2 linked regions of the Cricetulus griseus genome follow. The protein of the gene in region 1 purifies or fractionates together with the protein of each later gene. This does not show direct contact. Links are inferred from orthologs where the notes say so. Each region holds a gene or a part of one and is shown in the gene's direction. Other genes may lie near its edges.

Region 1 (4,189 bases):
TGACCCGCCCTGGCTCTAAGAACATTCTCCCTCCTAGACTAGAAGCCTTCGAATTTTGAATGGCCAGACTGCTCACTTGTGGTTTTCCCTTTTCCCGTTTATCTCAGTTGCTTACATAGACAGTACTTCCAAGTTTCAGGATTTACTCTAGTAGTTGTAAAGTGGAAATTCACTGGGCCCCATTCACATCTTGAGGCTGATTTTTTCCCCCCCAAATTTAGGATTTGGTTAATAATCTGCTCATACGTTTTATACTCAACTGGTCTTCCCAATTGGACCATCTCTGGAGTAAAGAGTCTGGGGGCATGAATACCATTACTCACATTCCTCCCAGTAACCTTTTCATTTGCTAGCTATGTTGAGATAAAAAGATTAGGGCTGCTCTCAGTACGCACCCAATGTTGAGGGATGTTTGTCGGGACGCAGTTTAAAATGCTATTTCCCAGCCAAAGATTCTAATCAAGGCTCCTGTATTTCTTAGAAGTCATATGCCTTCATTTGGAATGATAAGGATGACCTGCGTGTTCTCAATTCTGCACACACCTCTAAACTTTTAGAAAGGTGCTCTTTGGCCCTCGAATGACGTAAAGCTGAGAACTTAAGACTTTGGAGATGCTGCCTCAGAAAAGAGGTATAAAAAGTATGGCTGATGCCGGGCGGTGGTGACGAATGCCTTTAATCGCAACACTCGGGAGGCAGAGACAGGCGGATCCCTGGGAGTTTGAACCCAGCCTGTGAGTTCCAGGACAACCAGGGCTGTTACAGAGAAACCCTGTGTGGAAAAACCACAAAAAAAAAAAAAAAAAAAAAAAAAAAGGCTGACAAAGTGGCAAGCAGAGAATCATTCTACTAATGATCCGTCTGTCCTGCCTTTGGCTCCTGAAGCTCTATGGGAAAAGGATAAAATAAGACCAAGCCTTCGAGGAGGTCAAATCCTGAGATTATGCCTGTTGCAGGTCTACCGAGAACCGGAGGGCGAAGAACAGCGAAGGGAGTCGCCCGCTGGTTCCCGGCCGGCAGTCGCCATCTTTTAGGGTGGGCTGCGCAGCCTCTCCGCGCAGGGCCCGCGTGGAGAAGCCGAAACGTGGTAGCTTCGGAGGGCTGGAGCGCGTTACAAAGGGAAAGTGCGCCTGCGCTCGGGCAACCGCGCTGGAGGGGCGGGGCCAGAGGGAGGACGCGCGTGCGTAGTGCGAGCCCGCCAAGCACCTGGAAGAGGTGGGGAGGGGAGGTAGAGAGGCGTGGGATAGGACAGCGCTTGCGCAAGAGCGAGACAGTGCGGGAAGTGGGGGATCCGGAGCACGCTCGCGGAGGCGGGACTAGGGCAGATCTCGCGAGATTTGCTGCGGCCATATATACGTGCGGCGAGCCCGCGTCCTTTCCCTGGCGTGATTCCGTCCTGCTTGTCTGTTCTGAGGAGCAGTAGGCAGTTTCCTCCGTCCGATATCTCGCATACCGAAGTGCGCGTCTCCACCTCATGGAAGACTCGATGGACATGGACATGAGCCCTCTTAGGCCACAGAACTACCTTTTCGGTAACTGCCTGGCGGGGAGGGCCTGGGCAGGGCCTGGTGGTTGGGGGGGCGGCGGGAGTCCAGTTGAGGCCTGGCGTGTGCCAAGCGCGGCGTGGGTGGAGGCCTTTGCACGGCTGGGAGGAACCGCCTGGGCCGCGGGAGCCGAAGAAAGCCGAGGCCCGGGCGCTGAGCGGGACCGTAGCTTGGGGCGGCAGCGGCCCAGCCTCGAGCCTCTGGCGTTGAGAGGGCGGTCGGCCGAGGGTGCCAACTTGGCTTGGGGCGCGAGCAGGGGCTGTGACGACACTTTCTCTTCATACGTGAAGAAGGCCTCAGGACCTGGCAACAGGCAGCTGAAATTCAGCGCTGGGCCCCAGGCGCGTCCCGGGATAATGGTGCCTCTGGAGCGCGGCCTGCGCCGCCTCGTTGGGACGGTATAAGTGCAGTCCGCTGGGCTTTACAGGGGCTTCGGCCCCTCCTCCCCGTGCATCCGAGAGGTTCCGCCGCTGACAGGGACTCGGCCGGCCAAGCTCCCTGCGGCTGAGGGGGCCGCAACCCCTGGGAACACGTGGTTGCCACGTGGTTGGGGGTAGGGAGGGGGTGTGGGCTCTACATCCGGGCTCTCCTCACTTCTTAACCCTGGTCCTTCGGGTCCTGTGGTTTAATTAGGAGTGCTAGGCGGGAAACGCGTAAAGTGGCGCGTGGCGTCCGTGTCTTTGTTAAGATCTTGTAGCATCCACGGTGATGGTAGTGACTTTTTTTTAGAGACCCTTTAGTGCCTCTGCAAGAGGTGGAGTCAGCCCCACGCTGCCGATGACGATATTGATGGTCGAAGGGTCTTGATGTTAAGAGAGGGCCACGAAATCTTAAGTCGAAACTATCCTTTTCCCTACAACTGGTCTTTTTTTTTTGATTGGGCCGGGGAAGAGAGAGAAGTGCCTCCCGCGTTTAGCAGATTAAGGGATCACTTTGGTAACTCGGCTTCTGGGGACCCCACTGTCACTGCACATTCAGCTTATCGGTTTTACAGTCTATTAGTTTGGTTTTCAGTGACTCGAGTCAATTTTTTCAAAATTCCGAGTGTTTAAAGCACTTTCCCCTACGTGAATGAGTAGTACATGTTTAATGTACTCTAAGCATGAAGGGTTTAAGCTGTCCCTACTGGTCATGTGTAACCACTGTTGATTTGTAGTAATTTCCTTTAGAACGTAGGTAAGTTGGGTTTTTTAAAAATAGTGCTAGATAATGGTATGGTGCCACTATGCAAAAATCCAGTTTTAGGTCATTGGGTTTTCTGTGAAAAAATGGTAACGGTGCCTCATTAATTGGTCGTGAGTTACTATGAAAAAGTAGAACTTTTATTGGCTTTCTTATACAGTAGATTCCACGGAGAGAACATTTTTAAGTTAAAAGAGTAGAAGTTAATGGTCGTTTGGGACTGTGATGTTCATCTTGCTAGATTTATTTTATTTTTTCTTTACAGGTTGTGAACTAAAAGCTGACAAAGATTATCACTTTAAGGTGGATAATGATGAGAATGAACACCAGTTGTCACTAAGAACGGTACTTAAACTTTGAAATTAATTAGCCATTAGATTTCAGCCACTTGGATCTAAGTGAGGGGATTTATGTCAGTTTGTGCTTCCTTAACTGATGGAAAAATAGTATTTTTATAACTTTAAAATAGTTCACATATGTACTGGTAACAAAGAACTGGGTGTCTTTTCCACAGTCACTGTTATAATTAGTTGTCTAGTAAGGCTCTGCAGGATGTGATCTTTTTAAGTCTGTTGGCTATATTTTATTGGTTGTTTGGCTTTCTTAGGAACATACAGTGTTTTGTGTCTATGCATCTCGTAATTATATGAGAGGACTAGTTATCAGTAGTGAGAAGAGGCTAATTAAAAAATTTAAGGGGTGTTTATAAAACAACTGGGTACTGAAGGATCTTTCTTTTTGTTCACAGGTTAGTTTAGGGGCAGGGGCAAAAGATGAATTACACATCGTAGAGGCAGAAGCAATGAACTATGAAGGCAGTCCAATTAAAGTAACGCTGGCAACATTGAAAATGTCCGTACAACCAACAGTAAGTACATTTGTAAACATTGTTTTTAAAGTTGGTCTCTAAGACTGATTTAGGATAAGCAAAGATGTTTCAAATAAGTTATATCTAGTGTGAGATTATCTCTGTGGCTTCTAGATAGGTTTATTGATTATATAACTCTGTTGGTGATGCTTGGTGCAAAACATTCTTAAAACAATGTTTAATGATTGAAATTTGCTCATTTTTAGGTTTCCCTTGGTGGCTTTGAAATTACACCACCTGTGGTGTTACGGTTGAGGTGTGGTTCAGGGCCTGTGCACATTAGTGGACAGCATCTAGTAGGTATGTTTTTGGGTTTTTAAATCTGGTATTTCTATTAGGAACTGGCTTTTTTTAATATTTGTGTTTTGGCCAGGTTAGAGAAGACGTCTGTTGCCACTACTTGGGTCCTTGGGATTGAATACTGAGGTTTAGCCACAAAGATCTTGTAATTAGATTGGCTATCATCCTAGATCTCCAATATGGACTTTGTAAAAGTTCTTAGTTGTCTTATGCTGAAATAGGAATCTGGTAATGTATAAAAAGATAACACCTGAGTATCTTATTTCAGCTGTAGAGGAAGATGCAGAGTCAGAGG
Region 2 (4,304 bases), on another chromosome or scaffold:
TTTACCTGTGCAAATCAATTTCTGAAGTATTGCTCTTAACCTCTGGGCCATGTACAGGAGCCCCTTATCTACCCTCTGCCACCTCGTAGGTAATTCTCAAAAGGTCAATAAAAATGTCCATTATCAACACTTGTGGTGCAGCGACAGTTTCCAAAGTGGGGGTGACACTCGGTGGCCCCCTGCCTACAACCACCACAAGCCGGGCTCAGTCTTAGAGCTCATGAGGTGGATTCCTGTCCTTTACCCCCTTCCCCTCCCTCCCCACACATAGGTGTGAACTCAGATCAGAAGGAAACCTTATGTCACCAGACTCTGACAAGGCTCAGGGAGCTCAGATCTGATCTATTCACAGAGACGCTTTTAGGACTGGAGAGATGCCTCAGAGGTTAAGAGGCCCGGCTGCTCTTCCAGAGGTCTTGAGTTCGATTCCCAGCTCACAACCATCCGTTATGAGATCTGGTGCCCTCCTCTGGTGTGCAGACAGACATGGAAGCAGAATGTTGTATACACAATAAATATATATAAAACAAAAACCAACATGTGTCTGTATGGTGTCTATTCCCCATTCTGTCCTTACGCCTTAAAGGCAGAGGTCAGCCTAGTTAAAGAGACACACCTGAGCCGGGCGTTGGTGATGCTCGCCTTTAACCCCAGCACCAGGGAGGCAGAGGCAGAAGGATCTGTGAGTTCGAGACCAGCCTGGTCTACAGAGTGAGTTCCAGGACAGCCATGGGGTACAAAAAAAAAAAAACCTGTCTCGAAAACGCAAAAGCCAGAAAAAACACTCCTGGGGTGAGTCTGCAGGCAACGAGACCCCGTTATCAGCACCAAGTAGTTGCGATCGCAGATAAAGGTGAATTCCAATTAAAAGTGTCACCCGAGAGATCCCCGGGGCTGGCAATCTCGCCACCCCCCGGGCGAGCCAGCCAGACAGCTGCTGGTTGGCGACCCGAGTCTCGTGTCCCCGGGTTGGGGCCTTGAGATAAAAAAAAAAGCCGGGACAAGAGAAGCCGGAGTGATCAAGACGGAAGTGGCCCCACGCCGGAAGCCTGGAACTCGCTGAGCACGCTCTCCCGGAGGGTAAAGGGTGGGGCCGCTGCTTGCGAACCCGGATCAGTGGCGATCACGGGGCCCGACCCACTATTTCGGCGACACGCACTGAGCCGAGCCGGCTGCCTTAGCTAGGAGCCCACGGCTCCCGGCGCCTTGGTTCGGCAGCCGGTGTGCCGCGAGCGTGGAACCGACCTGTGCCCTCTTTAGATATGGCGGTGCTGGCTTCGCGGACGTTTCTGCGCATGTGCCCCGCCTCGTAAGCCGGGCAAGCGCTTCAGACATCCGCCAGAAGCCGGTTGTGGCGCTGCTTCTCAGACTGCGCATGCTCCGTAGGGCTCCGAGGTCGCCTCTCATCCTCAACTGCCGATTGGCCCACGAGCGCGTGTGTTCCTCCGCGCCTGCGTCCCCCGCGTCTGACCCGGAAGTTCTCGCTCGGCTTAAAGGCGCCGGCCCGCTGCGCGCGGCCTCTTCCTGTCTGTGCCAGGGCGGCGCGTGGTCCACGCCGAGCGGCCGACGAGTCCCGTCTGCGCCGTCAGGTGAGGCTGCGGGGGGCCCCGCAGTAACAGCGGGGCCGCCCTGAGTGCTCCGGGGGACATCTGGGGACCGGGGGGCGGGACCCGGGGCCTGGGCCTTCCCGTCTGGGCCTCGCCTCTCCCCTCCGGGAAAGCGTGTCCGGAAACCCGCGGGCCCGGCCGCCCCTGGCCGCCCCTGCGCCCTGCGCTGACCCCGTGCTTCCCGCACTCGAGGCCCTAGGGAGGCCACTCGGATGCCAGCATTACGTAGGGGGGTCACTCGGATGCCAGCATTACGTAGGGGGGTCACTCGGATGCCAGCATTACGTAGGGGGGACACTCGGATGCCAGCATTATGTAGGGGGGACACTCGGATGCCAGCATTACGTAGGGGGGACACTCGGATGCCAGCATTACGTAGGGGGGACACTCGGATGCCAGCATTATGTAGGGGGGACACTGGGATGCCAGCATTATGTAGGGGGGACACTGGGATGCCAGCATTATGTAGGGGGGGGTCATTCGGATGTCAGCATTATGTAGGGGGGTCACTCGGATGCCAGCATTATGTAGGGGGGGTCATTCGGATGCCAGCATTATGTAGGGGGGTCACTCGGATGCCAGCATTACGTAGGGGGACACTGGGATGCCAGCATTACGTAGGGGGGACACTGGGATGCCAGCATTATGTAGGGGGGACACTCGATGCTCGGGCAGTATTGCCAGCATTATGTAGGGGGACACTGGATGCAGCATTATGTAGGGGGGACACTCGATGATGCCAGCAGCATTACGTAACTCGGATGCCAGCATTACGTAGGGGGGTCACTCGGATGCCAGCATTACGTAGGGGGGACACTCGGATGCCAGCATTATGTAGGGGGGACACTCGGATGCCAGCATTACGTAGGGGGGACACTCGGATGCCAGCATTATGTAGGGGGACACTCGGATGCCAGCATTATGTAGGGGGGACACTCGGATGCCAGCATTATGTAGGGGGGACACTCGCACATGCCAGCATTATGTAGGGGGGACACTGGGATGCCAGCATTATGTAGGGGGGGCCATTCGGATGCCAGCATTATGTAGGGGGGTCACTCGGATGCCAGCATTACGTAGGGGGGTCACTCGGATGCCAGCATTACGTAGGGGGGTCACTCGGATGCCAGCATTACGTAGGGGGGACACTCGGATGCCAGCATTATGTAGGGGGGACACTCGGATGCCAGCATTACGTAGGGGGGACACTCGGATGCCAGCATTACGTAGGGGGGACACTCGGATGCCAGCATTATGTAGGGGGGGGTCATTCGGATGTCAGCATTATGTAGGGGGGGCACTCGGATGCCAGCATTATGTAGGGGGACACTGGGATGTCAGCATTATGTAGGGGGGACAGCATTATTTAGGGGGGTCACTGGGATGCCAGCATTATGTAGGGGGACACTCGGATGCCAGCATTATGTAGCCACCGGGAAAGTCTAGTTTCGCGGAGATCCTGTTGCTCAGCACACGTTTTCTTCCCGGACAAGGAGGGAGGTAAACGTTTGTGTCGGTTGTCCCTCTGGATTCCTACTGCGGCCCCTAGCCCCGTATCTTACCGACTGAACGCTGAAAGCAGCACCTGGCCTTTTAGGATGGAAGCTTCGTAAATGCACGGGGAAAGCTGGGTACGGGATAGGTGTATATGAGTGTCTGCGTGGACTCGGGAGCCATCCTACTGGGTGCCGTGTACCAGCTGCTTAGCTTGGTGATTTTTTTTTCCCTAGGTTTGTTGGAGACATGTTCAAAGTTGCTGGGTCCCCATTTAACTGCCCAGGTTTCCACCAGATGGGGGTTACTTAGCCTGAAGAGTTTGGGGTCGATGTGATTGTTCTAGGGCGGACGGCAGTAACAGTTTCTTCTCGATGTCCCGTCCCCAGAATGACTGAGTGGGAGACAGCCACACCTGCGGTGGCAGAGACCCCAGACATCAAGCTCTTTGGGAAATGGAGCACCGACGATGTACAGATCAATGATATTTCTCTGCAGGTAAAAAGGAACTTGGTGGTGGTCTGTGGGGCTTTTGGTTGGGAGCAGCTGTGGATTCTTACAGTTCAGAAAGGGAAGCATGACACCCAGGTTTGAATTAGTCTGTTTACCACCACGTAGCAGACCAATAACTGGACAGCCTTATTATAACCTGTACCAAAAGTTGTTACCGTGTGTTGTCACTTTTCATTCTCTGAATCCATTGTCTATTGAGACAGGGTCTCGGATATGTAACCCTGGCTGGCTTGGAACTCAAGAGATCCTCCTGCCTCTGTTGCCCAAGTGTTGGGATTAAAGGCATCTGGTTTGGTATCACTTTGCATTCTATGTTCAGTTAGGTGTCTTCTGTTGCAAAGACCAGTTTAACCAACTGAACAGTGTTGGGATTAAAGGCATCTGGTTTGGTATCACTTGGCATTCTGTGTTCAGCTAGGTGTCTTATTGAAAAAACTACTTTAACCAACTGAACAGTGTTGGCACTCTTGTCAAAGCCAGTTGGTAAGCTGGGCATGGTGGTGCATGACTGTGTTGCTGGTTTCTGGCTGTGGCAAGAAGATTTTGCGTATAAAGCCAGTTGCGCTGTAGTGAGATCTCCTCTACTGCTCTCCTCCCCGAAAGTGTCAGTTGGCTATGGGTGTGTGGGTGCTCTTGAATGGCTGTGTTGGTATAGGTGCAAATTAAAGTGGTTGTGAGGTTTCTGGCTTT

The links. The genes of interacting proteins can lie anywhere in the genome.
Region 2: the proteins of nucleophosmin (region 1) and Rps5 purify together in Homo sapiens (affinity purification with mass spectrometry; 3 studies listed by BioGRID and IntAct, with this or other methods). This does not show direct contact. The link is inferred for Cricetulus griseus from reciprocal best matches to the Homo sapiens genes NPM1 and RPS5.

The regions. Positions count from the first base shown.
Region 1 is NC_048600.1:48,346,434-48,350,622, reverse strand, and holds the start of nucleophosmin, read left to right. Parts: upstream 1-1,358; 5' UTR 1,359-1,474; coding exon 1,475-1,532; intron 1,533-2,991; coding exon 2,992-3,071; intron 3,072-3,474; coding exon 3,475-3,594; intron 3,595-3,800; coding exon 3,801-3,894; intron 3,895-4,162; coding exon 4,163-4,189. UniProt on the Homo sapiens protein: Involved in diverse cellular processes such as ribosome biogenesis, centrosome duplication, protein chaperoning, histone assembly, cell proliferation, and regulation of tumor suppressors p53/TP53 and ARF.
Region 2 is NC_048602.1:25,507,616-25,511,919, forward strand, and holds the start of Rps5 (40S ribosomal protein S5), read left to right. Parts: upstream 1-1,450; 5' UTR 1,451-1,589; intron 1,590-3,124; exon of another isoform or gene 3,125-3,238; intron 3,239-3,490; 5' UTR 3,491-3,491; coding exon 3,492-3,599; intron 3,600-4,304.